Arabidopsis thaliana: one gene and its partners. The protein of the gene in region 3 interacts with the protein of the main gene of each other region in a pairwise test. Each region holds a gene or a part of one and is shown on either strand. Other genes may lie near its edges. The genes, in order: AT2G22180, AT3G10260 and ERG28.

Evidence for each region.
Region 1: the proteins of ERG28 (region 3) and AT2G22180 interact in a protein complementation assay, tested with the Arabidopsis thaliana proteins (one large-scale study listed by BioGRID).
Region 2: the proteins of ERG28 (region 3) and AT3G10260 interact in a two-hybrid assay, tested with the Arabidopsis thaliana proteins (one large-scale study listed by BioGRID).

Annotation. Positions count from the first base shown.
Region 1 is NC_003071.7:9,422,064-9,433,180, reverse strand, and holds AT2G22180 (hydroxyproline-rich glycoprotein family protein), read right to left. Parts: upstream 4,439-11,117; 5' UTR 4,213-4,438; coding exon 3,337-4,212; 3' UTR 3,040-3,336; downstream 1-3,039. Other genes in the region: PLAT2 (Lipase/lipooxygenase, PLAT/LH2 family protein), read left to right, coding at 5,439-5,513, 5,695-6,171; AT2G22160 (Cysteine proteinases superfamily protein), read left to right, coding at 7,721-8,038; AT2G22155 (ECA1 gametogenesis family protein), read right to left, coding at 9,007-9,312.
Region 2 is NC_003074.8:3,166,726-3,177,842, forward strand, and holds AT3G10260 (Reticulon family protein), read right to left. Parts: upstream 6,268-11,117; 5' UTR 5,844-6,267; coding exon 5,603-5,843; intron 5,529-5,602; coding exon 5,348-5,528; intron 5,264-5,347; coding exon 5,122-5,263; intron 5,020-5,121; coding exon 4,950-5,019; intron 4,858-4,949; coding exon 4,688-4,857; 3' UTR 4,497-4,687; downstream 1-4,496. Other genes in the region: AT3G10240 (F-box and associated interaction domains-containing protein), read left to right, coding at 1-1,142; AT3G10250 (histidine-tRNA ligase), read right to left, coding at 1,646-1,710, 1,871-1,957, 2,127-2,612, 2,892-3,074, 3,425-3,530, 3,646-3,693; GYRB1 (DNA gyrase subunit B), read right to left, coding at 7,080-7,148, 7,243-7,373, 7,559-7,664, 7,748-7,801, 7,891-8,007, 8,084-8,197, 8,285-8,352, 8,434-8,548 and 7 more.
Region 3 is NC_003070.9:3,271,753-3,282,869, reverse strand, and holds ERG28 (ergosterol biosynthesis protein), read right to left. Parts: upstream 9,118-11,117; 5' UTR 8,899-9,117; coding exon 8,784-8,898; intron 7,617-8,783; coding exon 7,410-7,616; intron 7,307-7,409; coding exon 7,239-7,306; 3' UTR 6,917-7,238; downstream 1-6,916. Other genes in the region: AT1G10050 (glycosyl hydrolase family 10 protein / carbohydrate-binding domain-containing protein), read right to left, coding at 1-541, 624-1,169, 1,253-1,430, 1,553-1,899, 1,996-2,155, 2,238-2,584, 3,021-3,180, 3,263-3,614 and 1 more; AT1G10040 (alpha/beta-Hydrolases superfamily protein), read left to right, coding at 4,406-4,680, 4,758-4,825, 5,035-5,105, 5,284-5,538, 5,709-5,869, 5,963-6,018, 6,161-6,213, 6,304-6,433 and 2 more.

The DNA of each region.
Region 1 (11,117 bases), on a different chromosome or scaffold from region 3:
CAAACATTAAAATCCAGTGGCAGCCATTGTAAATAAGTCTCAACTACAAGATTTATTTCACAAAATGGCTGCAAAAATGTATATATAGATGTAAAAATTTATAAATCATATGTTATTCAATCATAGATTTTAAAAAATCAAACGAAATTCAGTGTTATCGAACTAATAATTTAAAAATCTACTTTAAAATGTACTCTTATTGAAAACAATTTGTGGATTTGATTCTTATTAATTTTGAAAGATTTTAATAAAGATTTAAAAATATACCTTAAAATGCGATGTTACTGCATACAAAAACTTAATAACTTTTTCTGCATATACTATGATTTTAATTTAGAAAAACCAAATATATATTACTTAATTAATATAAAGTGTGTGTTCATCATCCTATATCCGCTAAAATATTTAAAAATAAATAATCACTTAAAAATGAATTGAGAAATAATGTATTTTTGTACAATTGATTAAGGGAATTGGGAGAGCCAACATTGACTAATTGGCAAATTCAAAATAGTTAAGAACCAAGGGAGTATCACGCCAGGGCGGCTGGTACACATATGCCTCGTAGGTCTTGCTATCACCATCGTCTCCATTCACTGACATCAATAATTAACAATGTAACTTGAGTGCTGTTGTTCTCTTTGTTCTGCTTGGCCATGGTGAACTTGTCAATAACATCAAATGGAAGGATCCTTAATGTATTCAATGAGAAACCAATCACCTAAGAGCAACCTTAATGGTAGACTCTTAATTTTATCTCTTAACTATTTTATGAATTGTATTATTGAAAAAATTATAGCTAAGAGTTTTTGTAATGGTTTGAAGTTCTTAAACCTTCTTTTATCTCTTAGCTAAGGACTTTTTCTAAACTATTCACATATTATTTTGATTATATATTATACCTAAGATTTATAGTAAGAGACTTGCAATAAGGATGGTCTAATGTCTCTTCCGTTCTTTATTTTTCTATATTTGTTTATATATATAGAGAGAGAAGATTCAAGTAAATCAGACGGTTCTAACAAAACTTGATTTGACTCAATTATCTAGTGCCATAGAAAGCCTAAAACTATATGTAATTTTAAATGTATTGACTCAGTAAATGAATGTATATGTTGATCTGTGAGATGTTCCAAACTACTTGGTAACATGGGGATGCATGTGACTTAGATGCCCAAATTATAGGGAGCAAAAACATTGATCACCAATCCCTTCACTTGAATAATAATTTTCTGTGACATGTCTAAAAGGTGGACTAAAAACAAAAATCTTTTGGCAAACTCTAAATGTCTTTTGATTGGATAGTCAACTTTTTTAGACACCAAAATTTAAAGTAACAAAAAAGGAAATTTTCTTTTGTATCGGAACTTTCGAATGTAGTGGTGTGAAGGAAAAGAGAGAAACACAAATAAGAGTGAGGCCTAGGCGTGCGTTCCAACCAACCGACCATGTGGAATTATATGATAAAAGAATGTTTGTATTTTACATCAAGATTGCAAATGTTTAAATTTTAAAGCATTAAATAGAGTTGGATACTGCGCTCATCCCAAAATGTGTGAAATTCAATATTAGCTAGTTAGTTTAGAATGATATAGTCTCTTGCAAAACATCATACATAAAATAGTATTTAATTTGATTTGTTTGGTACGCTCACAAAAAAAAATAGAATAAATGAATATAGTGTCTTGCAAAACATCATACATCAAATAGTTCTTTGATATCCTAACTATTATTACTGGTTTCTATACAATTTTATATATCCAACCTTTACCCGAAATGAAGAATTCATTTTATAATAAACTATAAAATTTGTCTTTTTATATTCTTGCTAGAAGATAACAATATTGTTGTCATAATTAGGACTGTGAAAATGGTCCAAAGGTGCCCTTAATAAATAATTGGACCTATTTGTTTCACTTTCTAGTGGAATATCTTTATACACAATTATTGTTTCTCCACTGTGGTTTCGCGAAAATGACCACTCAACCTTTTCTTGGTAGATGGTAGGGGTATAGAATAAATGATTCTTTATGTATATTCGATTTTTTAAAATAATCAAGTATATTTAAAATAACTAGCGCACAAAAAAAAAAGAACATTGCATTTTGAAATCTGCGGTGAAATATAAAAATATTTTTGTATAAACTTTCATAATTTGTATTTTCTTATTAATACATTCCACTTATTGAACAATAAGATGGTGAGGCCAGATTCTCGCAAAGCATTTCCGTTTATTAACACATTCGCCTCTAAACGGGTAGTTGCATTCGCAGACAAGTACCTCTATGGACTATGGCGAATTCGACGAAGCCAAAGATCATATATTTTTATGAGTCCTTTCTCCTTCAAAACGTGGCCTTAAGTTGGTGGTCCTCTACTAAGCTCGCATCTCACTCCTGATTGGATGCATATGCAACCCCACCTCGTCAATGGCACTATCAAAATTCTCAGCTTCTATCTCTTATGTTTGTTGTGAGCGATAGTGTAATGACTATATTCAATTTTTACCGTACGAAACAGTAAACCGTCAGCTCTAGTGATCGACAAAATAACAGATCGGGTCTCCTCGCACCTATATTTTAATATGACTTGTCTTCACGACCTCATTAGATGTTGGCTCGAAGGAAGAAGTACTGATCAAGATTGTTTCTTTTCAACTTCCATTCTTCTAAAAGTCTATTTGTTTCTTTTCAATCTTCATTCTTTTAAAAGTCTATCTTTTCTTTCAAACTTTTGAAATTCTCTATTAATTAAAATATAAATATCTTTGTTGAAGCTAAATTTTACATTCCAACAGAAAAAGAGAAAGTTAAACTAATAGAAATGTACAGACGGCACTTATTCCCAAAATGTAAGTTACATTTCTATAATAAAACTAACAACACTGAGAAATGAGAATGATCTTATCAAAAAGAGAATGATAAAAAAAAAAAGAAAAAAAAAAGAGGGAATGATCCCATCAAGTTTTCGGAGTATTGCTTGTACACACTTGGTCTAGGAAAAATCTTAGGAGGTGAAATGTTACTTTTGCATTTAGGCCCAATTATATCTTCTGTTTTTAAGAAGTTCTGACTAGTCTGTTTATTTGTAATCTGGGCTAAACTAAATTTATTTGTAAAAGCAAAGGTACATTTAAAAAAAAAAAAAGACGCTCACTCTATTGTGTTCTTCTTGTTCACGTTTTCTTTTGTCGCTCAACAATATAGAGTAAAAACAAAGACATTAGGGAAAAAAAATGAACAATTGAACATTACATAGAAAGTATGAATTAATTAAGCACATTGTTAACTCTAACGACACAATCATGTTATATATAAAATATATATAGAGCGAGTGTCAGTTCTTGAACTCACTCTCACAATTCTCCGACACAATCTCAACCTTCTTCGCATCTAATAGTCCCTTAACCTTAACATCACAAGTCACCACCACTTCCTTGTTCCGTTTGACCGGCCCTGCTTCATACTCAGCCTTCAGCTCCATATTCAGCATCAGAACAACCGGTTGCTTCGATCCACGAGGTTGTACAACTGCGTTCTTGGTCGACCCATTAAGCTTCACATTGACCTTGTCGGATCCAGATGCGGCCTGGGACAACCCCGGAAATTTCCCGCTCCCCAGGCTCTTATTCTTGTACGTTAAGGAAACGACCCCGTTCTTTTCCATCATGTAGCGTACTCCCATGTTAGACGTTGGATTCTCGGCTCTTAATGTGACCTCAAAATTACTAGGATTTACGGTCAATCTCTCGACCGCGAAAACAGGAAGAGTGGGGTTGAAAGCGAAATGGAGGATGAGAATGATTGCACCGAGTAAGAATCCGAAAATGACCAAGATAATGAAGAACCACAAAAGACGTTTAGAACACCCTTTCTTTTTGTTTTTCTCCGGGTTCTTGCTGCGTTTCTCGACGTATTTTGCATGTTCCGGAGGAGGGGTCCAATAGACTTGATCTCTCGGGACTTGGACAACGTACGTCTCTAACTCAGGGATTGAATCCGGAGGAGGAAGAGGCGGAGAAGATGTCGTTGGGAGTGGAGACAGATTAAGAGAATGATTACGCCAATGGTGTGAACCGTGCGATGGAGGATCTAAAGATGGCAATGCGGGGAGGCTAGAGGTTGGACGGTGCCAAACGGACGGAGGATCATCGGGTTTGTCATCGTCAGAGTCAGGGGCGGTGGCGGAAGGAGGACGCCGTGGCCCCTCCATCGGAGAAAGGTGGGAGTTACGAGATGTGTGGTGGAGATTGGTCTACAGAGAAGACGAAAGAGAGAGAATTAAGAGAGGATGCGAAAATTAGGGTTTGCATGGGAAAAGTAAGTGGTTGTTGTTGCATGACTCAAACTTTTGGTTGGTTTTGAGAAGATTTTGCTATTTAGAGTTAGCCAGCTCACCTTAAATTTCCCTTTTTCTGTTATTTAGAAAACTATATTACAGAACTCATATAATATAGTATTATGGCATTTGATGATGATCAACGAAGTTGTTACTTTTTGTTTACAAGATATCGATTTTCTAACATAAATTATATATGCATATAAGACATACATGAGTAAAATCTTAAAAAGGTTAGCACATATTGGTAATGTTTATCATGAACGAGTCTTATTTTATTTTGTACGTTTCGAACTAAAACCATTTTTGGGTGGTATTTCTGGACCAAATTTTCATTAAAGTGTTTTTTATTTCAATTCTCTTGCAACTTCTGTTTCTTTAGAAAGCGAAAAATGCATATATACGAATATACGTTGGGATTGACATGAACGGAATGTATGTATTTACACACATTAATCCGCAGCAACCGGCCATTCAAAATTATGTTTGTGGGCCTTGTTGCTGCTTCGCTGACAATACTATCCAAAATTTATTTCATTTTTCTTTCTTTGAAAAACACACAATCACTTAATTTTCATTTATAAATCAAACATATGTACATGAAAATATCAAGGAAATTAAAGGAAATCTTACCTTCATATGGTCGAAAGTTTTCTTTCAAAAAGCAAAAACAAAAATTAATGTTTCTCTAATTCTTCCCCGGCCCCAATCCACGTGAAACATGTTATGTTGCGAGCATTACACTGGAAACTGTTACATTACATTCTAATTGGCGAAAAATGAAGTGCATTTGTATTGTATCTCACGAAGATTTGCGTTTGTGACAAAAAAAAATATGCAATTTTTTTCGAAATCTGACAACCCATGCCGACCTGTCCGCCGAGTTAACGACGTGCTTATAGGATCCTTAAGTATTTTTATTCTTATTTCTTACTCATTCCAACGGACCAAAAACGACCACGTCATCTTCATACGCAACTCCCAAAACAGACGATAATTAAATCATTGAAATCTAAACTCTCATATACTTTAGCATTTTCAACATTTCTATTAATATTTCCATAGACTAGATCTCTCTTTCTTATACATCCATATCACCGATGATGCCTCGCCGTGACGTCCTCTTCCTCTCACTCCTCCTCGTCATCGCCACCGTCTCCGCTGTCGCATTAGCCGTAAGTTTTCCAAATCTGACTTGCTTCCTCTCATATATGATTTTGTCTAGAACTAGACACACACATTAACCAGATTTGAATATGTATATAATGACACAACATCAATGACATTAGTTTAAACTATTAGACTACAAACTTCTGTTTCTTCCCATTTAAAAAAATGACTTTCTTGATTTCACAGGACGATGAAGCAGATTGTGTCTACACATTCTTCCTTAGAACCGGATCAACCTTCAAAGCCGGTACAGATTCGATCATAAGCGCTAGAGTCTACGACAAATACGGAGACTACATCGGGATCCGAAACCTAGAAGCATGGGGTGGTTTAATGGGACCAGGTTACAACTACTACGAGAGGGGTAATCTCGACATTTTCAGTGGGAAAGCACCATGTCTTCCGAGCCCAGTCTGTTCATTAAATCTGACCTCTGACGGCTCCGGTGACCACCACGGTTGGTATGTTAACTACGTGGAAGTCACGACAGCCGGAGTTCATGCAAAGTGCTCGTACCAAAGCTTTGATGTTGAGCAATGGCTTGCGTCCGATACATCGCCGTATGAGCTCAGTGCTGTTCGGAATAACTGTCCAGTTTCGCTTAGGGAAAGTGTCGGTCGGGTCGGGTCTGAGATCCGGAAGACTCTCTCTTGGATCGTGTGAGAGTAGTGAATGAAATGTCAAATGTGTATGTGTGTGTGTAACTTGGAGAGTTGTTCTTTGTTGTCTTGTGAACGTGTGATGGCAATAATGAAAATGATTCGATCGAATAAAAGTTCCGTTCTTTGTTGTTTGTGAGATTTTTATCAAACATTATTAAGTTTTTCGTGTGATGAAATTAAAAGATAATTACTGATCATATTAAAAAGAAAAAAAGATAATTACTGGTTGATATAGTTTCTTTGTTTCGTTTTATTTTCACAAATAAACGTTCAAAGCTACAACCTTATGATTAATCAAAACTTTGCCAAATAGTATAAAAGATGGGCCCTTTTCACATTTTTCGATGTAATTTTAAACATTTAATACAGAGTGGATCTTCACAATTTTAATCATTTTTGTGCATGTTCAAAAAGTCAACAAGAAACTTACAATTTTGTAAGAAACATCAACGACATTAATTGGTATTGGCCTAAACCTCCTAATTAAGTGACATTTGGTTGAAACGGAACATTTCTTTGGGTCATACTAATAACTGAAAACCATTATCAAATGAATGACTTTAAAATTCCTCCTAAGGCACCATATAAATCTCACTATGCTCCTAATCGTCTTTTAAATCTATAAAAGAAGGTGTGAGCAATAAGTTCCTCAATGAAAATTGAAAAAGATCATCCCTGCACACATAATCTATAGAACCACAAAGCAATATACAAGCTAGACATAAAATAAATAGACAATATGCCTTTAAAAGATAATTACTGATTGTATAATATTTATTTACAAAGACTTCGTTAAGGTCAAAATATTTATGTCTAATCTCCATCCCCCTAGAACATGTTTTTTTCTTTCTTAATAATAGTAACTGTCTAAAAAGAAAGAATTTATGATTCTCATAAAAATTAGAAGAAACAGATTAAAATGGTTTTATTCAATCATATTAATTGACAGAAAATTAAATGTCATATAAACTACAATGAAGAAAATGATAAAGTAGTGAACCTAGTGATAATCCTTTAAACTAACGATCACATGATTCGATGCAACAAAGTAATAACAGACTTATTTGAATTGCCGCGTAAGACTTTGAAGATATTGCTTTCAAAGACGAGAAAACATTGTTTCATCATAAAAATCTTCAAATACATCGAAACAGTTAATGATCGCATGTTCATCTCATTTCTCATACCTCTTTGGACTTAACTGGTACGTAAAAAGATGATAGGCTAATAATTTCGTTGAGACAAAAACTAATTTAAGGTTAAAGCATTAACTATATAATTGTCTATTTTTGTGTTAACGATCACATGCACACATTCAGTGCAATTAAGAAAAAAGTTTGATCCACCAAGTATATATGAATGTGTTCGTTTGTCTACTTAACTCTCGCACTAAAAACAATCAAAAAGAAGAAATCAAACAAAATGACTAAGCATATCTTAATTATTCTTATGTTTACTCTTCTCATTCTAGAGCTAAAAGCTCATGGAACAAATACAATGAGACAAAGCTAAAAAGTGATGAGGGTCTGGAAAAGTTGTACAAGAGGTGGATGGGCCACTATCTTGTGCCCATCCACCAAACAGAAAGTAGTTTCGATGTATTTAAAAAAAATGCAGAATATATTGTCAAAACCAACAAGGAGAGAAAACCGTACAAGCTCAAGCTCAACAAGTTTGCAAACTTGACCGACGTCGAGTTTGTCAACGCTCACACATGTTTTGATATGAGTGATCACAAGAAAATACTCGACTCCAAACCGTTCTTCTACGAGAATATGACTCAAGCACCAGATTCCTTGGATTGGAGAGAGAAAGGAGCCGTCACCAATGTCAAAGATCAAGGACCAACGTGTAGTAAGAAGTCCTAAGAAACGTTTTAATAATGATATTATTTAAAAATATCAAGTAAAGTAAGACTATCTTTAAATGTTCTAAAGTAAATTATTAAAAAGTTTATTGCAGTATATAAAATATTCAAATTATAACTCGTTACTCAGTCGGAGTTTTTGTTAAATTTATTTTTGTTTAAAACAAATATATTACTCAAGTCTGAATTTTTGACCCATTACAAGTTTTCTATCATAGATTGAACAATTTCGATTCGTTTTTCAAAATTCAAATAATGACATATGCAGAAAAAAATCTAGCTTTTCTTTATATGAAGATTTATTTGTTTCACAAAAATAGAATCATGTAAAGATGAAAAGAAAAATATATGATTAATAATAAATTAATATGCTAAGTTAGATATCAAAATCTTATATGTTTATTTTGATTGGTCATTTTCTTAATTAATAATGTATTTTCCTTTTTAGAATTTAAATAAATTAATTAAATTAATATTTACCTTATTTATCCTTAGTATTTTCTTTCCACAGATGCCATTATTTGAACTTTAGTACAACAAAATCACCAAAATAAAAAAAAAAACTAAGAAATTTTGATGCACATATAAATAAGTATTTTGACTTATATTCAAATTGTGTGGAAACAATGATAATGATATCCTTCCTCCGATAAAACTAATCTTTTTTGTATGTGTGGGAAGAAGAATAGAGAAAAACTATAAATAAGGTTAGAGTTAATGCCTTATAAAGTGAGAATTAGGGTTTAGTTTTATTTTCGTTAGTTTGGATTTAGGAAGAGACTTAGTGGGCTTTACAATTAATTCAGTTTTGAATTATTAATGATTTATTTTATTTGTTATTTTAAATAGATGACATGTCAACTTTTAATTGGTTATTAGAGAAGAGGTGAATGTAAGAATTGTTCATATTTTATTATCATAGATGGTCTTTTATTCTCACTTATTAAACATAACGAATCCTCAAATGCCTCAATGCAAAGAGTATTTAATAGTACAAATACCCTTTAATACAAAACGAATGTAAGGCATGCTTGGGAAAATTATTGGCCAACACATATCAGAAACTATACTAACGGTTTCACAACATTCTTTCTTGATCCCATGGACATGTCCATGTAAAATTCCTTTTATGCTTTCGAGACATCCTCTTGATGTGCTTTTAAACGCCTTAAAACACCCCTCCGGATCCGTTGGTTGAGCACTCGAAGGAGACCAAGTCATTGCAAAAACAAAAACCATAAGAAAAATTATAATCTTCATCGTCTTAGATTCCATTTTTTCTATAATTAAATTAAAAAACCCAAAAAATTGTTTAGTTTTTTTTTTGTAATATGTTAATGATGGTGGAGCTTTTTATACTTTGTTTTGGTAGAATGACTAGAGATATGAGTTTATTCAAATTGGTAGATTTTCGTTTGCTCATTTCACCTAGCAGATATGATAATAGAGTTCCATATATCTTGGTATATATGCCATTCAAATTCATGATCATTTCCTTTATAAAAGATAGCCTTTTCAACAATGTCACTTAATTTTGTGTACGTGGACATATAATACACTCACTACAAAATACATTTACGTATCATATATATATTACCAAAGTAATTAAGCATTTCGCCAACTAGAGAGTGCCACCTGAACGTTTTTGTAAATTTTGTGCCAAATAAATTAGAGAATTACTAATGATGACTAGATTTATTTATATATAATCCTAGATATACAATATCACCTCATCAACTATTTTTCATAAAATGTTAATAATTAATCAATTTTTCAGAACTTCAAAACAAGAAAAACATTTTAATTTGAAGATGATCAACATAAGAATTGTTAAATTTAAGTTTAGACTGCAAAAAAATTTACATTTAAATCTTATTTGTTCCATGCACATCTTTTAGTTATATACGTAATGAGAACTTAAAACTAGTTGTTATGTTACAAAAAAATACTCTTTGATATTTAAGTTTAATGTTTCTTCAGGTGTAATTTTCTATATTGACGACGTGTTGGATCTATACAAACAAAACCCATCTCGAATTACAACTAAACAAGGAGGATCCACCATAGATGTTAGATGTCAGTCACGGAAGAAGAAAATTAGTCGGCAAACGTGGATCAAACCTGCTGGCTAATTAAGGAAAGCAAACCATGATCTTCATCAAAGAAAATCTTTTATATATATATATATATATATATAATTGTTGCTTTATTCAATCACTTAGGCAAAAAATAACAAAAATTCACATATAAATGGTCGGAATAGAGCAGCCAGGCAAACAAACAAGATGGCGCTACTGGATACGTTTCGCTTTACGCAAGAATCGATAACTCAACTCTCATCTCCAATCCAAAGGATGTGTACGCAGAGGTCAAGTTCTTCGTCTACAACAGAATCTACGACAAATACTATACCTACCAAGGTATGTAATGTAACCTATTGCCCCCCACCCGGTTAGAAAAGTGTTGTTTCAGTGCTAGCAGATTTTCATTTCGAGGCTGTCAAAAAAAAAAAGATCTTCATTTCCAGTTTATTGCTATGTTTGGACAATAATGATATGCTATGTCACATTTACTATTAACCAAACGTTCTGATCAATCAGAAAAAATAAAGTATCATGCATGGTAACTATCTTTTGGGTCCAGTACTTAACTGAACATCTATTATAAATGAATGTTGTTGTACAAACTGAGGCAAGGAGGTTTCATTTATTCAAACCTGAATACGGAGTGCCGTAATTTCAACCCACATCGGTGTTCTCAACGCTGACAACCGGATACATTTTCGATGGAGAACAGTGTGTGTTTGGAATTGACATCTTCGTTGCTCAAACCTTGAATGAATGGGAAGTTTTCTCCTTTGAAGAAAACATCAAAGATCCCATTTACACATGGAAACTCAACAGATTTTCAACTCTCTATAGTGACTCTTACACATCCGCCCTTTTTTCTTCTGGAGGAAGTAGCTGGTGAATCTCTCTCTTCTCTCCATAACATATAGATATATACACAAACACTACGGTATCTTTACGTCAATGTGTTAATAAGTAATGTTAATGATATAGGGTATTGAAGGTATATCC
Region 2 (11,117 bases), on a different chromosome or scaffold from region 3:
TAAAAGCCTACCAAAGAAAAAGTAAACGATCCAAATCAGGTTCGTCGTCCATTCCTCTAGATCTAGTCTCAGAGATACTCCTAAGACTGCCTGAGAAATCTGTTGCGAGGTTTCGTTGCGTGTCCAAGCCTTGGTCATCAATCACCACCGAGCCATATTTCATCAACTTGTTAACAACTAGGTCTCCACGGCTTTTACTCTGCTTCAAAGCAAATGAAAAGTTTTTTGTTTCCTCGATTCCGCAACATCGTCAGACGTTTGAGACTTGGAACAAGTCTCACTCTTATTCTCAGCTTATTGATCGTTATCATATGGAATTCTCAGAAGAAATGAATTACTTCCCCCCTACGGAATCTGTCAATGGCTTGATCTGCTTTCAAGAATCAGCTAGGCTGATTGTTTGGAACCCTAGTACGCGACAGTTGTTAATTTTACCAAAACCCAATGGGAACTCGAATGATCTAACAATCTTTTTAGGATACGATCCAGTGGAAGGTAAACACAAAGTAATGTGCATGGAGTTTTCAGCAACTTATGATACGTGTCGAGTATTAACCTTAGGATCAGCTCAAAAATTATGGAGAACGGTCAAAACTCATAATAAGCATCGTTCTGACTATTATGATTCTGGGAGATGCATCAACGGTGTTGTATATCATATAGCCTATGTCAAGGATATGTGTGTGTGGGTTCTAATGAGCTTTGATGTCAGATCTGAAATATTCGATATGATCGAGTTACCATCATCGGATGTTCACAAGGATGTGCTGATAGATTATAATGGGAGGTTAGCTTGCGTTGGTAGAGAAATAATAGAGAAGAATGGTATTAGATTGTGGATTTTGGAGAAACACAACAAGTGGTCGAGTAAAGACTTTCTTGCACCTCTTGTTCACATAGATAAGAGTTTGAGTACTAATAAGTTCCTACTAAAAGGTTTCACTCATGCTGGTGAGATTATTTATGTAGAATCCATGTTTCATAAATCGGCTAAGATTTTCTTTTATGATCCGGTGAGAAACACTTCTAGAAGGTTCGAGCTTAAAGGGTTCACTGACGACGAGTTTGTGCTCAGTAATGAACATGGTTACACGCTCCATGTTTTCCCGAATCACGTTGAGAGTCAGATCTCTTTTACTTAAGAAATTTCTTCGTTTTGTTTTTTTTGTTCTTGTGTTCTTTAGAATGACACTTGCTTTATATGCAAGTTTCTGGTTTCTTTTCGATTCCTTACTTTGACTCTATCCTTAGCCTTCGGCACTATCCAAACCACTTATATCCGGAAAAAAAAAGAGTAACAATTGTAACAAGTAAAAAAGATAACTAAAACACAAGAGAAAAGAGACAAAATCACACACTGAAAATTACATGATCTTCTTCTTAAACTTATTACTAACTTCAAGCTTAAGTAACAATGTTAATAGAAAGCCCTTTTTATACACCCCACCAAGTAGTCTTTGCAAAGGAAAACCATCAAATGCTGAATCTTTTGTACACAAACGTGTCCTATGTTATTAGTGATAAAGCAAAACCTGCATAGTTTCCAGAAACCAAAAAATGATGATGTTGGAAATGCAAATTCAAAAAAAAAGTGCAACCTGAGATTTGAGGCAGATGAGTATATATATTCTTACCTAATACCCAACTACTCGCTCCCGATGTTATCGTAACTGAAACCTTCAGATATGGTATCCAATCTCTTGTTGTCTCCTGCAAAAACACACACTTACCATTATCACTTCTGTCTGTTGCCTCAATACTTCTACTTTCTCTAAACCAGCGAGCTAGTCTATTGTGTCTTGAAGAATTTGAAACCCGATTACTTGCGATATATTACAGAAAGTAAGAAAGATTCCTAGAGCTCTCTCACCTTGATATTCTCCTCTGTCACGGGAGTCCAGGAAGTTTTCAGCATTCGGCACAAGGAAGGGTGATCTATCGTAGCTCTCCAGAATCTCTGAAATCAACCAGGAAACTTATGGTTACGACAAATAATTTATCCTATTAGCTGTTTACTGGCTCTTGTACTAGAAAACCACTAATAACTACTTGGTGTTATACGCATGCTAAGACGTCAGAACAACGAGAGAGAAAGGAGTATATGAGATATTGAGATGGAGAAAGACCTGAGCTCTGAGAAAAATCAGCAGTCAAATCAGAGAGGCTAAAGTTACGAGGAATTTGACCTAAGAACCCAAAAGTAGAAGCTTCTGCTTCAAGAAGCGGATCACTGAGGGGTTGGTTGTTGGACTCGTTACTGAAATTAGGAATCGAAGTATCCCCAACTGCCGAATGTCCTTCGAGGGCATTCCGTTCGCCACCATACATGAATGAAGCAGGGTTTGTAAAGGCAGTCTCAGACTTGATCATTCCTCCATTCATTCCTTGCATCATAGGCATGTTTGTGGTCTGCGATGAGAGCATATTTGGAGAAGCATCAACTCTCCTAGCATGGGTTGATATGTTTATAGAAGAGGGCACGTTTGTATTGAGTGTGGAAGAGCCATTGAGGAATGCATTAGACAGACTAGAAGCCATTGGATGATGTGCACTTTCAGACTTCAAAGATTGGTCAGTGTGCTCAGAGGGATAGCATAATTGTTTCTGATTCACTGTTAAGAAAATCACATAGATTAGCTATTTAATACTCATCAGTTAGCGACTTGAATGAATGACTAATCTAAGGAAAACAACAAACACATAATGTTCACAGGAAAAAGAAACCTTGAAAAGAACTAAGGCAGCAAAAGTGGAAGCCAGAAAACAAGACAATGCATATGAGGACTGTTTACTACAACACTTGAACAACAATTCATAGCAAAAGTATACAAGCAATAAAGAGACCCTAAAATGCAGAAATTAAAATCCATCTCACTCCAAACGAATCTTACTTGATTGAAGATGAGAACCATTTGTGTTTTGGACAGAAGCAACACCAGTTGGATGCATCTGACGCATGTGGTGAACCTGCTGCTCAAGCAACTTGTTGAATTCCATTATCTGGTGTTTAACCATTAGCCTAAGATAGTAAGCTTTGAAAAACTCCCGATTCTCTTCTTCAAGCTTCTGCCAAACTTTTAAACATAAAAAGAAAGCGTGTTATCATAAATCCCCATTTTTTATCATCGATACTCACTACTATACATATTCTCTCATATTTCATGATCTATTGAGCACTTCCTAACTAGGTTCTGACCAATAAGACCTTCTTGGTGACACTTGAACCAAACAATACATAAGATTTCAGTTTTAAGCAACAACAAAATCATTCACACATGATTTTGGCTACAGATGTCCTGAACTGGTAATAGATATATTAATACCTTTTCATTCACAGTAATGAATCCAGATTCATCAATGAACAAGGATTACAGAATCAGATGCTAATTTCTATGAAAAGAAAACAGAGTATTTGAGTGGCTACCTAGTTCTGTGAACCCAGGCTCGATTTTAGCCTGCTCTAGTAAAGTATCCACAACTTCTTTCTGATTCATGTAAAGTTGAAGGCATCGTTCTATAAGGTTTTGAACCTGAAACCAAAAGTAAGTTTTATTGAGTTGGAAGAGGACGAATTCAAATTGTCGCAGATTCAGACAATGAAACCAAAGGCCTTCCTTCATCATGATCTATTTTTGTTGTTATTACCAGTTGTATATCTTGACGTGAAACCCTTCTCACTGTTCCACTCGACATCTATGAGACTTTTGTAAACCAGACCTTGTTCCTGTCAGGCAAGAACCAGTATTAAGAGAGGGTACAAGGGAAATCGATTCGAATCTGTACAAGTTCAAAAATTTATATCAAATCATTAGAGGTTTTTATCTCCCACTAATGAAACAAGGTTCTTTCTCTAGGTTTCAAATCCAAAAAAAAACAAAAAAAAACAGAAAAAAACAGAGAATCAGAAATACAAAATAATTCACAAATAAGAACAGATTGAGAATCATCTATTTTACCCCAAACTAAACCTCAACACTTCGAATCGATTTCGTCTTCAAATACAACCGGATCACATCAAATCAACAACAATAACAAAAAAAAAAAAGAACATCAAAACGATCAAGAAAACAAATTCGATTAGCTTAAGAAACACAAATTTCATAAGCAAAAGAGCACCTTTAATCGGAGAAGATTCGAGAGAGAAAGAGGTGGAGATGGAACCTAACCTCACTTTGTTGATCGATCGTGGATCAATTTCTTTACTCCATTTTCTTTGATTTACTTCTTTTTATATTTCTTTCTTTTAAATTTTTTAATTTTAACATTCAGGCTTCGAAGCTCAGGAAGCTGACACGTGTAAAATGTTTGACAATGGTGGATCCCATACCTGTAGAGTTATCTGATCTTCTTATTAGCCAGCCGGTCAATATTAGTCAACGATTCTTACGAAATAAGAAAACCATACTTTTGATTTGTGAAATAATTTTGATTCAAACTTGTTTTAAGTCTTACATTTTTAGACATTGAGTTAATGAACTCTCAATCTACTTGTATAATTTTGACAGATATGATGATTCTCTTATTAACCAAGGTATTGACAAATACATGGACAAGGTATTGTTTAGTAAGGAAATACACAAAATCTACATGAATGAATAATATTCTCAAAACATTCATTTAGCAAACCATAATCCATATTGTTCTAACAACAAACAAGGTAAAATAAGAAAATGCTTGAGTGATTTAGTCACTCACGCTTCTTTAATCCAAACTTTCCACTTGGGATTCTACTGAGAAACCCAGTATCAAGCTTCTTGTAATGACTATGAAACTTCATGATCATAGAATCCATAAAACCATCCACTTCGTCTTCGTATCTCTCATACAGAACCGGCATTGTGTGTGCCCCAACAAACCCTTCACACACACACATAAAATGCATCCCTTTAAAGTCTTGTATTACTCAACTTCCAATCTCAAAAGAGGATACACTAATAAGAACCACTCACCGATATACAAAACAGTTAGGAAATTGCAACAGCTCCCGACCATTGCAGCTACCCATAGTCCGATTACAGCCTGAAAAATGATATTGTGATCAAAGTTTCTATCTTAGCATAGTAATGAAAGTGCTAATACATTATACAAACAAGATTGTGGTTATTGAAACAAACAACGCACCATGAGGAACTGTTTCAAATTCCCTTTACAAGCCAAGTCCTGAAGAAACAACAAACCGCGGTTAACTTCTTTTCCAACGGCCACACCGACTTCAGCAAAGAAATCCTTTGGAAGAACTAGGCGAGGCACTCTAGACTGTGAGCTGCTTTGAGACATTAAAGGACATTGTGTTAGATTGCAATCACAAGGTACCAATAATAATGACAACAACACTCCAACAAGTTACCGGTTTAAGAATCCAGAGGCGTTAGACCAAACGAATTGTGCAATCATACCAAGCAAGAGGGCATAGCAAACGAGAGACAGGAAATGGAAATTGATCCATTCAAAAAGCACCCAAATTGCGGTAGCTCCCATCAAAACACTTGCAGAGATCTTCTTGTTCCTCCATAACAACACATCAGCAGCTGAAGGAATCTCTCAATACTCAATTACAAGAAAAACCAATCTCATATTTATGTTCCTGTATACGAATTCTTACATTTGCCACCGCCTAAGACATGATGAATTGGCTTCTGGCGATCAAACAAACGGTTGAAACGAGAACTGACGGAATCTTCTTGTTCGAAGAAGGAGGAACCATGTTTGTTCTTCTGAACAGTCTCCGTGAAGTTATCCACCAAATCACCGATAACGTCCTCTACGATGTTCTTGTCAGGCATGATTCTGAAACACAATCGAAATCTGAGATTGCTCAATTTGCAGATGAAAGTTGACTTCATAAAAAATTGAATCTTTTGATCAGTTCTTCATACCCTAAACCCAAAACCATTTCGAGTAATCAAATTTGGTCTTAACAGTTCGTTGGTGATAATTACAATGATATAAAACTTAGATCTTAGTATATTTGGCGAGAAGACAAGAACAACAAAAAGACCAGAAATTGAAGAGCAAGAACGAGACAAAGATGAAGATGAGTAAGAGTAAACCTGTAGGAACTGGAGAAGAAGAAGAAGAAGAAAAACCTTGGTTGTTCTGTGAATTTCACCCAAAAAAAGTTGCTTTCTTTCGTTGAAGATTCTCTCAATCACGAAGAAAGATGGAGGGCGGAAGTGAAACAAGAGATGGGATTGGTTGTGTCGAATAATTGAATTACAAAAAAATGTTTTTTTCAAAATGTGGGCAAATGTTGGAGTAGTGTGTAGTAATAATGGATAGGACTTGTCTTCCCACGTGTAGCTCATGACAATAAACAAATTATTTTTTAAGAAGTATTATTGGACGCCAAAAAAAGAGTTGAAACGTATCGTTTGTATTTGCAAGACAAACAAAAAGAAGTTTTCTGAGTAGATTTATCAACCGTTACAAGCCTTGTTGAAAATAAAAAAATTTCATTTATTCAATGAATTAAAGTCACACTAATATGGTTGACTGGTTGTTACATGCGTGATGCGTTCATAACACTGCTTTAGGTTGTTCAGGAAGAACAAAAATCATGTTTAATTCACTATATACCTACCAAATCGAAAAATAAACTTGTTAATTATCGATCACTCTGCGATCGCTAGTAAAACATCAGTCAAAACTTAACCTCGAATACAATTAAAATCAATACAACAGGCAGAGAAGATATTCATTGCACAATAGTTACCTTCTCATCTTCCTTCTAATCATTAGTTTTAACTTCGTCGCATGCATGATTTTCAGGAATGCCAAATTGTTGAAGTCATAATATATAGTAAATACCTAGTGAATGCAAATTTCTCTTGTCTCTAGAAAAATTCTAGTTCCAATGGAAAGAAACGCCCAACAAAGAGCCTTGTGAATTGCTAAATTTTGACATTGAAAGAGATAATCCTAACAATGAATTTTGTCCTTTATAGGCCAGAAGAAGAACAAAATCCTGTTGGCCTGTGACTATATGATTTAACCTTGAAATGATGATGTCTCCCTTTGCATTTCACCAGAGTCGTTTCTTTGTTGTTTGTATATAGCTGAAGCAATAACTATAAGCTGTGTTATATGTCGAGATTCTCCAGATTCATCCTAGTCGCAGCACTTTTGATGAGTTCCTTCCTGACATCGACCTGAAACATACACAGAACATAACATTGTCACGATGAGTTATGCCAGTTTATTGACTATTATCATGAGTCCGAGTCTGGCAATTCATTGGCTTACCCGAGCACCCATCAGAGATGAGAAGACCATATTCGTTTCTGCTGCGTCGTCAACAACTAGTTGCTTCAATATCCTTGTATCTGGATTCATCGTTGTTTCCCATAGCTGCGCAGGCATCATCTCACCCAAACCTGCAGATGCAAAAGCAAGAAACATTACATAGAATCCAATAGTTGAGACTAATCTAGATTTCGTTATGCACACACTCAAGAGTATCTTAATAGCTAACACATAACAACTACTATACATTACTTTTCATAGTTATTTATCCTTTCCAAAAGAACACATTCATGATGTGAGAAGTAGGATGTTTTACCTTTGAACCTCTGAATGTTGTAGGATGCGTTTCCAGGGAACGAAGCAGTGATTTTTTTAAGAGCTGCATCATCGTAGCAGTAGTGCGCCTGTTTCCCCCTCTCAACCTGATCGTTTTCACAGAGAGACTAGCTTTAGAAAAAAATTCCGTTCAATCTGAAGCATAAGATTATAGATACTAAGAGCTTACCTTGAAAAGAGGTGGAACACCAACGTATATGCAACCCGCGTCAAACAAGGCTCTCTGTAGAAAGTAAATTTCATTAAATTTCACATAACTCAATCAGCAATCAAGGCTACTTCAACTAATGTTTTATCAAACTAAACTAGTACCTGATATCTGAAGAAAAAGGTCAACAGAAGTGTCCGGATATGTGCACCATCAACATCTGCATCTGTTAAGATGATAATTTTATGGTAACGCAGATTCTCCTTGTTAAAATCTTCTCCCTGAAATAAGTTTTATGTCAAACTGAGTTTTCCGAACATACCAACAAACAGCAGGATATGAAAAAGGATATATTACCTTAACTCCAAGACCAAGGCCAAGAATAAGATTTTGAATTTCTTCGTTCTTATACATTGCTGCTTCATCCTTTCTCTCAATATTCAAAATTTTGCCTCTCAAAGGAAGAATTGCCTGCATAGATCGAAATACAGTGTTACAGACTAACAAAATAGAAGCAGAGCCTGTTAGTGACACGCTGAGCAGAATGATTTTTTTTACCTGGAAACGCCTGTCACGACCCTGTTTCGCGCTGCCACCAGCCGAATCTCCTTCGACAATGAAAATCTCTGGTAGCATAGGAGATAGATGTCAATAAACTGACTAACTTTCACAGCTTACAAGGCACTTTCATATTGGTTAATGCATACCAGATTCTGCAGGATCTGTAGATGAGCAATCTGCAAGTTTCCCAGGAAGTGAGGATGACTTCAAAACGCTTTTTGATCTTACCAACTCCCTAGCCCTCTTGGCAGCCAGAGCAGCCTAAAAAGAAAGAGTCAGCAAGGAAAATCCATGGTCATTTGGTTGAAGTTAGTAACTAGACATACTGTAGGAGACACATACTCAATCAAAGAATACGCTAATCACAGATATCAGAAAATGCTTCTCAAGGGATAAAACACATGTTTGAGTGTTTGAGTGCATGTGTGTGTAGGTGAAGATGTGACAGTATGAGCAGGTATTTCAATGTCGCACCTTGTACGCATTCAAGGATTTGGAAATAATGCTTTCAAGTACATCCGGATGCAATTCCAAGTACTCCGTGAGGTACTCCTGGACTGATTGGTCAACAATTTTTCTCACCTCTGGATTTCCTAGTCTTGTCTTTGGGACACAAAAAAATTAAAATGATCAACAGAATCCAAGAAAACTTATGGCCTGCTGACCAGAGATTGTTGACAAAAATGAGGGTCAACATATCATTATGCTCCCTAGTACCTTTGTTTGACCTTCAAACTCAGGGTTCGGAACCTTGACTGAGACAATGCAGGTCAATCCTTCCCTAACATGTTCCCCACTTAAGCTAATATCCTTTTCCTGAAAACATAACCAACAACAATAAGTTACACTATGAGTTAGCAACCTTTTCAGAACAGGTCAAGATAAATGCTTAAATGTAAGCAAAAAACAACCTCTATAACTGGCATGTTTCACAGTTCAATCATGGTAGTACATTATTAATTGTCCGTAAAGCATGTCTTTTAAGTGCAGATGAGTATTTAAATTTAGTCTCAATCCATGGAGAGGAATAGATAATATAACCCTTGACCTACATTATCTCAGAAGACTCTTTCAACCACAATAATGACCAACTAACCGCAATTAGGCATTTGCAGTTTCCATGAAAAAGGAGGAAAAGAGAAGGGGAAAAAGGCTCTAAGCCTCTAAGAGTGGAAATATAAAGTGGAAAAAACGCAGTTGGTAAGTTGTATCCCACCTTGATAACCTTTAACTTTTTTGCAAGGGAATTTAGAGTTCTTGTTAATGAAGCCTTCACACCTTCTATATGTGTCCCACCATCTATGGTCCGAATACTATTCGCGTATCCCAGCATCGTGTCTGAATAGGCATCTGAGCACCTGGTACAATAACGAGATTATATACTTAGATCCATATAAATTTTGGATAGCTACCATGATATACACATATTCGTCTAGAAGAACTGTATATACAGTCATCAACTCCGCATACGGTACAACATATTTCCATCCAGTTTAGATAAAGTAAACCATAAAATCAGTCAGCCAAAATGTTCAAGTATGTGGTTTTACGCTAAATGCAACCCAGATTATAATCTGTTCATCACATGAGCAGATATTAGACGACGTATGTAGAAGGAAGAGTAAAATACCACTGAAGTGAAACGTCAACGGTGGAGCCATTTATCTCTTTCCGGAAACCCAGCACATCATGAAGCGGTTTCTGAACAAAACGAATTGTAAATTCATATTTTCGGAAGGGAAAAGTAATAAGGATGACCTATAACACCAGAGACCTAAATGCATAAGAGCTAACATAATAGAGATTAAGTTTACAAAGGTTCCATGCTCATGCTAAATAGAGCCCTAAAGAATAATGAACAGACAACACATCTTACCATCAAGTAAGCTGAGAAGGAAAAGTATTAGTACCATCCCCATTGCATTTTGTTTCACAAAACCCATTCCAATTTAATTGCCACTATTTTAAGTCTAGCATCACCGATTGGCAAATATTGAGATTTTATACAACTATAACAAGGGACCCACAGTACATGCCTCACCTTATCAGTATTTAGCCAGCTAACATATTCAGTTAACCCTCCAGCATAAAAATATTCACTATACACGTCCCTTTCTGGATCATCATCCTCCTTTTTTAGAGAGATTGTAACCTGCATTCAATATGAACCTCTTGATTATGACAAAGGAAACAGTCGAACACTAGCTTCTGCTAAATAAGAACTCACTAAAACGAGCAGGTTAAGAATGCTCCGTGAAGCACACAAATCAAATATCACGGCTGCCTATACCTTTGGATTGAGAAAAGCAAGCTCCCTGATCCGTCCAGCAATAGTGTTATGGTCGAATTGAATTGCAGTTGTGAATACTGATTACCAGTTTGTTTCAGAAAAGATAAGTTAGTCATCAAATCCTATCTTTGGGAGGGTACAATAGATAAGTACGGAAAACAGGCAAAACCTTCTTTGTCAGGCCAGAACCGGATGCATGTCCCTTGAGTCCCCCTTGACTCTGGTGGTAGGACATGACATGTAAGTGTTGTTACGGGCTTTCCACGAGAATACTTCTGCTGAAACTCCATTCCATCTCTGCGAACTATAACCTCCAATGCCTGTGAATAATGGGAGCTCCATAATTAGTTGTATGCATATTATCCTAATAGACTCCTGATGTCTTGCCAAATATAACAGTTTCTTATAGTTGAAAGTATCTGAAATTGATAGCCCCAGCACTCAGTACAGAACCATTCCAGGATCTTTCTCATATGATATCAGGTTTGGACATTAGATTAACTTTCACACAAAATAAAGAATTTGCAATAACATAGCAAA
Region 3 (11,117 bases):
ACAGAGTTGCTAATGGGTCTAACTCGTGTGCAGTCTTGAACATGTTTGCTCTTGCATCAGAGTCTAGTCGATCTCGATAGAACGATCCGTGGAGCATCTCATTGTTCACATCATAGTGTCTAAATTTCCCATTGTAACGGGTAAGAAGATCTGTTACGCGGTTCTCAACTGCTGCTTCCAGCTTGGAACCTGTCAGCTGTTGGACCCACGGTTGAATAGCGGACTCTACCTCCCAGAATATGCAATGGCCTCGGGTTTTTATGTTGTATCTCTCACAGAATTCGATCATCTCGTTTGCGTCCCGGTAATTGAAGTTTCCTTGCTCTGGCTCTGTCCAGTACCATTTCAGCTCATAACCAAACACTGCCCAATCGAAATTGTTAAGAAAGAAATCGACAAAGTCTTCATTATCTATATTGCTCCGACTGATGCATGACCCGAGTGGGAAACTGTTACGTGTCTGTCTGATCTTCACCGTTGCACCAGACAATTCGCTAGGATCTAAACCTGAGAACTTGAGGCAAACATTGCGTTTACGAACCTGCATAACAGAGAAAGAGCATTTGATGTGAAGTTTAATTTTCGTTCCAAACATGTAATGAGTAATATGTTTCGTAGGTTACCACATCAGCTTGTCCTCTGAGATAACTCAACCGTGCCTTACGATCAACAGCGAAGATCTGGAGACCTGCAACCATAAGATCAACACCAGGAGACGGGCCCTGGACATGAAGCATAACTTCTTTCGCTTCCTTCTCAATTCTAAATGAACCCACAACTTCATGCCAGTCACCATCATCAACCTCAACTTTTCCTCCATTAACCCAATTACCATCAACACTGAGTGCTATATTTACGTCCTGTGGACTGGTACGTCCTCCTGAGCCAATTTTAACCCAAGCGGAGACCTGGTATGTTACAAACAGCTTCACTTTATCAGTTATCGTCTGAGCAGGACCCATCCATGTTCCACTTCGATTTGTCGCAAGCACATATCTTCCAGATAGATATCCTTGTGTTTTTCTAAGTGAGTCTCTCGCCAGGGGAGGTAATATCCTAGGAGAGCCGTCTCCAACTTTTAAATGGCAGTCTCCAAGAGGGAACCAACCTTCGATTGTTCCATCACTTAGGTGGCTATTCGAAACAATGTTCATCCCAAAAGCATGACTCTGTAGAAAAATGGAAACAACATATAATACATTAAACACAAAGAGAAGGTAAATGTTAAAAACCACAAAACTTTTAATGTAACCTCAATATATGGTCGTCCTGAAGGAGTCTCTTTCTCTGCAGGCTTTACAGCAAAATGGTCGACAAAAACATCAATCCCTGGTGGTGGTCCTTCAATGTAAACAACTGCTCTAGCTGGAGATCCATTCAAGAGGAACTTTCCTTTTAACTCTACCCAATCGTCGTGTGTTCCCTGAACACTTGGAAAAGGGAACAAACTTTCTTCAAATTCTTTGTATCAGACAATATATTTGGGCCAAGATTCACATTTACAGTAACATGTGGGAAGAAAAAGAAAAAATCGTCATATGGAGAGCCTAACCTGGAAATGCCTATATACTCTTCGCGTTGGTCAAGGTATTGAACATACAAAGTGGCCTGCACGGTGTGATGGCTATGTGATAGTCGAACAACAGAAGATGCTTCATAAATGAGTTTTCGCTGGACTCTTTCTGTTATATCCTGCTCGATTCCGCTCCACTTATGTGTGCGCTCTGATGCAGAAGCAAAACAGGTTCCAGAATCCGGTAGTATCTTCCCATCAGCTAGAGACTCATGTAACATAAGATTGCATCCTCTTCCAGACCAATGATTGAGGCCATCGGAAAAGCTTGAATTCAGGAAGATGTGATTATCAGATTCAGGAGCTGAACAGAATTCTCGGCTTCTCTGCATATAAGGCAGAACATTAAATCAAAGCTAAGATTTAGATCATAGATTGATCATGTCAATGTACTTTCAGTCTATCTATCTAATCACAGTTACCTCAAACTGATTATCGCTTTCGCAATGGATGGTGACGGACTTTACAAGAAGGTCAATTCCAGGAGGTGGCCCTTCCAAGAAGAATACAACACGGTCAGGTCTTCCTGACACTTCAAAAGTGCCTTCCAGAGTTTTCCAAATATCTTTCGAAGCATAAGTTCTGCAGATAAAAACATTATCAATGTCAACATTTCTGGGTCTTCTTGACTATATATCACAAAGAAGTCATGTGGTTCCATTACTTTCCAATTAGTTGAAATTCCGTTGCTGAGCTTTTGTGCTCTAACTTCAAAGTGGCCAAGACCTGCGCCGACCCTAAAACAGGTCCTGATACACTAACACTAGCAGAGACTTTATATGAAAAACCAGGAGAAACGTTGTCTGTGATATCTTGCTCCAGTCCTTGCCAGGTTTCACTTCGGTTATTAACAACCGCATTTGATTCCAAATTACAGTCGTTGCTACTAACAACAAATGAATCACAACCGTTGGTATTCCAAGAATACAACCCATCAGAGAAGTCATGGTTCTTAATGATATTCAAAGCAAGAGGGAAGACATTGGAAGCGTCAGTGTTTTTTTCGGTTTCCTGCAGTGAAATAGTAAGCCACAAAACGATGTTAGAATACAAGTAATTAGCTTGCTGGTTTCTTGTAATCTGGATTATACTGTAAAGAATTAGATGAACCCGGTGAGCTATATAGTGCCTCAACTAACGTGCAACGAAACAAGCTAGACTTCTTTCATGTAGCTGAACTTCTTTCATATAGCTTTACTTCTCTCTATTTCAAACAACTGAAATATAATTTCATGATCAGACAACCAGAATTAACAATAATGTTAAACTTGGACACATGATAGTTACATCTATCTCAGTCTCCAATAACATATCTTTTATCTTCTCTAATAATCACCTTTCTCTATACCCATATTCTTTACTTATTCATATTCAAATGCAAAACTATGATCCCCAAATAGTTAAGTAACATATGACTATGGCTGGTCAAGAAAGACATGAGGTTCACCTGGAAGTCACTAGAAGTGGAGGATCTAACGGTAACAGAGCGTATAAGGAGATCTTTCCCTGGAGCGGGACCTTCCAGATAGAGAACAACACGATCAGGCATATTTGATATCGAAAACGTTCCTTCCAGATCAACCCACTTGTCTCTCGAGGCATATGTTCTGCAGATAAGTTCCACTTCATCAGAAATCTCTACAAAAGCTCAATCAAATTTCAAAGATATAACCATAAAAAAAAACATACTTTCCGATACACAAATACTCGGTAGGAGAGTCTTCATGCTCAAGCCTCACAGTAGAAAGAACCTCAGCTGATTCATTGAAAGGACCAGACACACCAACACAAGTTGATACAGTATAGTTCATTCCAGAAGCAACCCTGGTTGTAATATCTTGTTCAAGTCCTTGCCAAGTTTCTTTCCTATTAGTTACAACGACATAACCACCGCTCGAGGAATCAGCAGACATTACCTCTGAGCTAAATGGGTCAGAGGAAACTACAAAAGCTTCACATCCGTTGGGATACCAAGGTTCAATCCCAGCAAAGAAGTCACCGTTCATTACAATGTTAAGATCCGCCATGAGCTTAGCCTGTACTAAATTCGGATATAATCAAATCAACAACATTAACCAGTAGATGATAAAAATTCGAAATGGGTCAACCCAAAAAAAAAAAGTCAAATTAAAAATCTCACCTTTGAATGGGAAAGAAGAGAAGAGAGAAGCGAGAGGACACAGAAAGGTGATTAGTTGAAGAAAGAGAAATCCAACAGACATCAATCAGCAACACTTCGGAGAAGAAAGGTACAAAAATCTCGTCGGTTTTTTTTTTTTTTTTTAATGATTCATGTCGTGCTTTCGACGTTGTGGTTGCTGATAAAAAAGTCAAAATTGTTGTTTGACTCTTCCAGAAGAAGAAACAAACTCATGATTCATGAAGCTTCCTTTTCTCTGGGCAAAACTTGGATCCAATCTTTGACATTAAATGGGCCGGGCCTGTCTTTTAAAGTTATTATATAAAAATAATCTTAATTATCATCATCATGTCTGAATATGCTTTTTAACTTATGCCAAATCACATTTTTGGCTCATTTAATCAAGTTAATGACTTTATATAACATGTGTTGTGTTCTAGAAAAAGCAACAGTGTCCAAATCTCAGATGTGTAAGAAAGAAAATGTCAATGGCGTTTCAACGACGACAACAAATACTTCTGTGGGGACTTTCCCTAACGACTGAAACTATTCTCTGTTTCTCTCTGACCATTTGAACTTTTGATGTTTGAAGTCTATAAAAACCTACGCGAGACCTTCGAATCTTCCCAAAGTGGCGACCTTGAATTAACACCTGCATAAAGTTTCCATTTTTCATTCTTCGTTTCGTGATCATGGAGGAAGAAGATAGCGTGATTCCTAAGAATACAGAAGGAGATGGGCGTGTTGGAAGTGATCTTGAAGGAATCCGTAAGCCAAAGAAGATGAAGAAGATGAGAAGCAGGAAGAGTGATGATAAAGAGACGAAGAAGAAGAAGAAAAAGTATTGGATGGGTTGTCTCAGAGCTGAATCAGACGAAAGTGGAAACGTCGATTTGACTGTTGATTTCCCTGGCGAACGCACTGAGCCGACTCACCTAGTCGTCATGGTCAACGGTCTCATCGGCAGGTTCTTAGTGTTTCCTATGTTATGTGCTTGATTTTGTTCTATTTTAAGCTGATTTTAAATTTTGTGTGTGGGTACAGTGCTCAGAATTGGAGATTCGCCGCTAAGCAGATGCTTAAGAAGTATCCTCAGGATCTCCTCGTTCACTGTGAGTTCTTCTTTCTCTATATTTTTTCAATTAAAACAGAGTTTCCTCCTAATGGTCTATAGTAAATTTGTGATTGGAAGTCTCAAGTGAAACAGATTGATTATTGGAAGGAAGAAAGAATCACACTTTAGATATTTTGATCTCACTTTACTGGATTTTTATAATAGTTTTTAAATAATGGCTTGTGATACTTTATAATCATTTTGCAGGCAGTAAACGCAACCATTCCACACAGACATTTGATGGTGTTGATGTTATGGGAGAAAGATTAGCTGAAGAGGTTTGTGTTTCTTATCTTTAGGCTGCTTATATTTCAGCGTTGTTTCTATCTAATGTTATATTGTCTTCCGCTTGGCTAGATGTTTTCGCAATGCTAGAACCTTTTATGTAGAAGTTTCTATCTTTGTCTCTGCTTGAGTTTTCCAGCTCAAGTGATATTCTTAATCTCTTTTGTTTAGGTTAGGTCGGTGATCAAACGTCACCCAAGTCTTCAGAAGATTTCCTTTGTAGGACATTCTTTAGGTGGCCTGATTGCTAGGTATGCTATTGGGCGTCTTTATGAGCAAGAATCCCGAGAAGAGCTTCCACATAATAGTGACGACATTGGTGATAAATGCTCGATAGAGGAACCGAAAGCAAGAATCGCTGGATTAGAGCCTGTGTATTTTATAACTTCTGCAACACCACACCTTGGTTCAAGAGGACATAAACAGGTGATTTGAAAACGGTTTTCTTACATTGAAGCTGTCAATATGTTTACAGCAAAGTTGAGATCCTTTTATGCCTCATTCTCCTGTAAGCTTGATAGTTGATACAGTTTGTGGAATTTTGCAACATGAAAAGTTACAATTTGGTTAATGGTGTGGCATTTTGACTGCATTAGGTCCCATTGTTTTCTGGATCTTACACTTTGGAGAGATTAGCTACGCGTATGTCGGGTTGTCTTGGTAAAACGGGAAAACATCTTTTTCTGGCTGATAGTGATGGTGGAAAGCCTCCATTACTCCTCCGGATGGTTAAAGATTCTAGAGATCTTAAATTCATGTGAGTTCCTTCAATGATTTTTCTATATATAGCTGATTGAGGCTTTTGCGTAGTTCAAATGATTTCTAATGTCTCCTCTGCTTTTGTGAACAGTTCTGCTTTGCAATGCTTCAAACGGCGTATTGCTTACGCGAATACAAGTTTCGACCGTATCCTTTCTTTGTTGGACGTCTTTAAACTAATTCTCTACTTCTTCACTGATCGGACAATGTGAATTGAGCTTAAAAAAAAGACTCAGAACTGTTGTGGCTATTACAATTCATTTGAAACCTTGACCTCCTTTGTTCTTAGACCTTGTTGGGTGGAGTACATCGTCTATCCGGCGTCACAATGAGCTTCCTAAGGTTAAACCTTTCACTTTCAGTGTTTAATAAGATAATGCTGTGTATGTTATGCTGAATCAAGTCTCACATATAATGATATAACCTTCGCAGCTTCAACGTGGTCCAGTCAATGAGAAGTATCCTCACATTGTGAATGTTGAAGCACCGGATACTGCAAGTAACTATGAGGAAGATCATTCAAGGACCAAAGCAGACAGGTTCAAGAACTTAGATATGGAAGGTTGGTTCAGTGGAAAACTCATTCTCGTGTTTCTTATTCTTGATTTCTAGTCATCATAATACAACAAACTTATGCAGAGGAGATGATAAGAGAATTAACAAAACTGAGCTGGGAACGAGTTGATGTTAGTTTCAGAGGAACGCTGCAAAGATTTCTCGCTCACAATACCATTCAGGCAAGTGTTCATCATTGTCGCCATCATCATCACCATTGCTACTGTTATTAAACTTCATACTCACATTTGGAAAACATTACAGGTGAAAACAAAGATGATCAATTCAGCTGGAGCAGATGTTATACAACACATGATTGACAATTTTGAGCCATAGGTGTGACTTGTGAGATAACGGAAGATGGCAAGCTCCTTCACAAGTTAAATTCACTAGGGGAAATACATTAGTCATATTATCACAATTCTGTCATCTAGTAATGTTACTATACACTATTAGTAGGTTTATCTGTTTTGTTAGCTGTTCTCAGTTACCGGGAAAATGGAAAATAGAATCATTTTGGATACAAACAAATAAAAAAGGGAACGCAAGAAATAGTTTCCCTGTTCGTTGACTATCAACCATACACTAAACTCAAATCTCTGTTTTAAAAGCAATAAACAACACTTAAAAAGAAACCATATAATCCATGAATTTATGATATTCTCATAGTTCAAGACTCCATCAAAGATGTCGTAAGATTTAGATGAAACAATGAATCAACAGCTTTAGGGATCGAGCAAAAACTCAGATGATTCCCACTTTTAGAAAAGCTTATAAGACGAGAGACTTAGAAACATAGATGTGGACTAACATCAAGAAAGTTTGGAGTGTGGTTGTTCAAGGGAATTCCACTCCAAGAGCATCCACACAATCGATGTACCTGTTATAGAGAACACATTATATAGATCATTCACAATATGAATGCAACCTACATCAACTGATTCAATACAAGAGTGAGTGATGGTCAATGCCTCAAATTATACCTGCAAAGAAGCCCACAGTTGAGAGATTCGCGATGGTCATTGTTTGGTAAAAGAGGTATTCAGTCAGAAAATGGCCTAACGCATAGATAAATGATAGAAACGTAGCCAAGTATAATGGTTTGTTTTCGAGGTTGAATGCACAAAGAAAGCAGAGAGTGCAGGTCAAGAGTGTCCATACTCCGAATGTACGTCCATGAACTTCACTCACTGCAAAACAGGTAATAAAAAGATTCAAGTAATGAGTACAGGACTCTTGTGAACCGAGAAGGCCCCATTGCCTGAGATAACCTAAGTAATAGAGACATCAACTATGTGAACTAGTTTTGTCTAGATAAATCTTTTGTGTTCCCGGTTCTCATGTAGCTTAGATGATGCAAAGTTATTAGTCCTTGTGTTATCAGAACTGATGAACAAAACATGTACAAGACCTTTTGCAATCACAGGAAGAAAAAAAACAATGTTCCATGCACCACAAGTTACAGAAAGGAAAAAAGAAACTTCAAGTTGCTTATGTTTTAATACATATACAAAATCTTATTCACTTCACCTGATCACTAATTTACTTCAACAGTACTTTAAGAAAAAACTTTACAAAGATCCCACAAAAAAAGGTTATGCATTGGAGTATGTAAACTCTTATCATTCCCACCCAATTCTCGATCCAAATACTCTTCCCTTTCCTGATATCTAGGACATGGCCGTCCACTTATTAAAAAAGTTACTTCACCAAGGAACTGTACAACATACAAGATTTGCCTATATCTTTCTTGGATACGTTGCTTCAGTTTGCTATACTTATGGTGTACTAATTCATGAGTGTTGCTTTCAATCCCAACTACCTCAACTTGACAATTAAAAGAACACATAAGAGCAAGTAGAAAGAGCATCATGAATATGTTCAACGAATCCTAATCCGGCTTTCCTTCTTAAAACCTCAAAGTTGACTACAAGATTCATAAACCATTGACTTTCCATATGCAATGTACTACTACTACTAGCAAGAATCAAGATCAAATCCAGGAAAACAAAACAATATTCTAATTCCTCACTATCTTTCTAGATCTCAAAGCTTAGGGATCCCAAATTCGATCCTTATTGGAAGACTCAAATCACAGACACAAATTGTTAAATTTCCACAAGAATGGTTCCTCTGAACCTGACATTATCATTTCTCATTGAAACAACCAATTCACGTGCCCTCCATAGATACTAACTCACAGATACTAGCTCAGAGACCAAGGAAGTCAATTGATAGAAGAAAATCTGAAGTTATCTATAGTTTCTATGTGAACATCACCCATTTAAATCGTTGGAGCTAACACACTATCAAATCAAGAACAATTTAAAATAGAGATTAAAAAGGGAGAACTGAACTGGTGGTCTGAGAGAAGACAGCGAGACGAAGAGCCCAAATGTTGAAGAAACCAAACCAAACAGAAGCTAGTCTCAGTGAACCAACCACCATTAACCAATACCCCAACGCCTTCATCTCCCTCTTCTTCCTTCGTTTACTCCTTCCTCGTTATCCAACAATACCCTAACGCATATATTTTCCGTTTTAAAACCAGAAAACTATGAGACTGACACCAAAAAAAAACGTAAACTCAGATTCGGCGGAAAGATTCCCCGATCAGAACACGTAAGCCACGGAGGTTAATTTCGTACATTTCAGTTAGTTCTCAAACCACCGGAGAAACTGTTTGATGGGCCGACAATAGTTGGAGTCTCCGCCGAATTCGATTATTATTTAATTCAGTGGGTTTCAAATGGGCTTTTCAATTGGGCTTCTGTAATATTCTGATGGACTTCTCTACAGTTACTACTGTAAAAACAAAAATATGGTTTACGTAATTTTGTGTTGCTGAGGCAAGAAGAAGACATTTCCTTCATCCTCTATAAATGAATGTCATTAAAAAACAAAAAAAGCAGAAAAAATACAGCTATCATCCACGATCCTCGTTCAGCTACTTATCTAAACAAATACTACTACTATATAAAAAAGAAATTGAATCTAAGTTGTCGTAAACGTGCACGCATATCTCTCGCCCAATCCCCAAAGAATTCTACTTTATTTTTATTTTATTGACTCGCACGCATTATTTAATTTCTTAATTTAGAAATTTTGTATTCTATATAATACAGAAGCTGCATTCTCAGAGCGAATAGAGTGGTGAGTTTACCTTTGCAGTAGAAGAAAAGGTGACTATTTGATGTCATTTTTAAATGACGGTTCCTCGAAACTTTAAAACACCTTACTAATTTCATACTGTACACAAATGTAGAAAAGTTTTGTGGCTCTAAAAAGTGTTTGTTTCCTTATTTGATCAAACTTTTGTTTCTAGGTGAATGTAGAAAAGTTAGACCGATGGCTATTAATAACCAAAGACAATTCAAGAATACTTTGTGGAAAATAACCAAGAACACTTCACTATGGTGTAAATAATGTTAGGAAGTTTATCATTCCAAAACTCATGCACATGAAGAAAATTTAAATGTTTCGTAGTGTTCATCTTTCATCACTGTTAGCAAATACATTGGAAACTAGCTACGCCAATTATGAAACGGAACTAAAAATAAAATAAATTTAACAGAAGAAAAAAGAAATCTCTTAATCTGAATAAAATGTGTGTTAAGGAAAAACCAGAAAACTATGAGACTGACACGAAAACGTGAGTTCCGCATAGAGGCGGAAAGATTCTCCCCGATCAAGGCACTAATCAGAGCCTCGAATGTACACGTAAGCATCAAGGGTAATTTCGTAAACTTCAAAGAAGTGGAGCCCTATGTTTTTGTGTGGTTGGTCACTTATCAGGTAGAGAGAGAAACCAAACAAAAGAAAATTACGTCAACCTCTCTCCGACCTGGCACTTCTTCGCCAGCCTGTTCCCAGCTGTGCTCCAATGTCTTTTAATTTTCTCTACCAGCCCTCAACTAACTCTAAATTTCGGATTTACCCTTTATCCGTACGTATTTTAAATACTCAAAACAAATTGTTTAAAAACTTTCAAATGTTTACCAAAGAAACATTATTTGCCAAAATAAGCGTCACATTCGAGCAGAGAGTTACCCAATCTACATCATTGTTACGATTACCGGATGTTTAGCCACAATTTAGGGGGCTACTTGAAATAAAAAAGAATTAGGGACAAATTTTCTCATTTAATTCTTTTTTTATGAGAGAATAATGGAATATTCATGCTCTAATAACAAACTCTTTACAACATGACTTATAGTTATAGAATGTAATTAAAAATTATTCAAATGATTTTTTCATCGGTGGATGTAGCTTAACCGTCTATATTAATGAAAAAGGGGATTAAAGAACAAAATTAAAAAGGTTTGGTACCAATATTAAAGTTGTGGTATAATAAAGGCGAATTGGACAATTTAGGAAAATACAGCAAACGAAAGGAGGGAATGCAAAAATGGGAAAAATGTAAATTGTGCTTGCTTGTTTGTCTCCACTTAAAAACCAGAGACATACACAGAAAGACCAAGAAGACGACTGCTTCCTCCAATGGTTAGGTCGTGAATACGGCGCCATTAAAACGCTGCGTTTTATCGTCGTCACCTCCTTTTCCTTTGCCTAATTCCCCTAAGTCATCGTCTCTTGAACGGTTCCTGCCATTAATGTCGAACTCTTCCTAAACCCTTTTTGTTCACATTTCCTTCTCTTTCTCTTCCTCCGTCTCTCTCTGAAAAACCCTA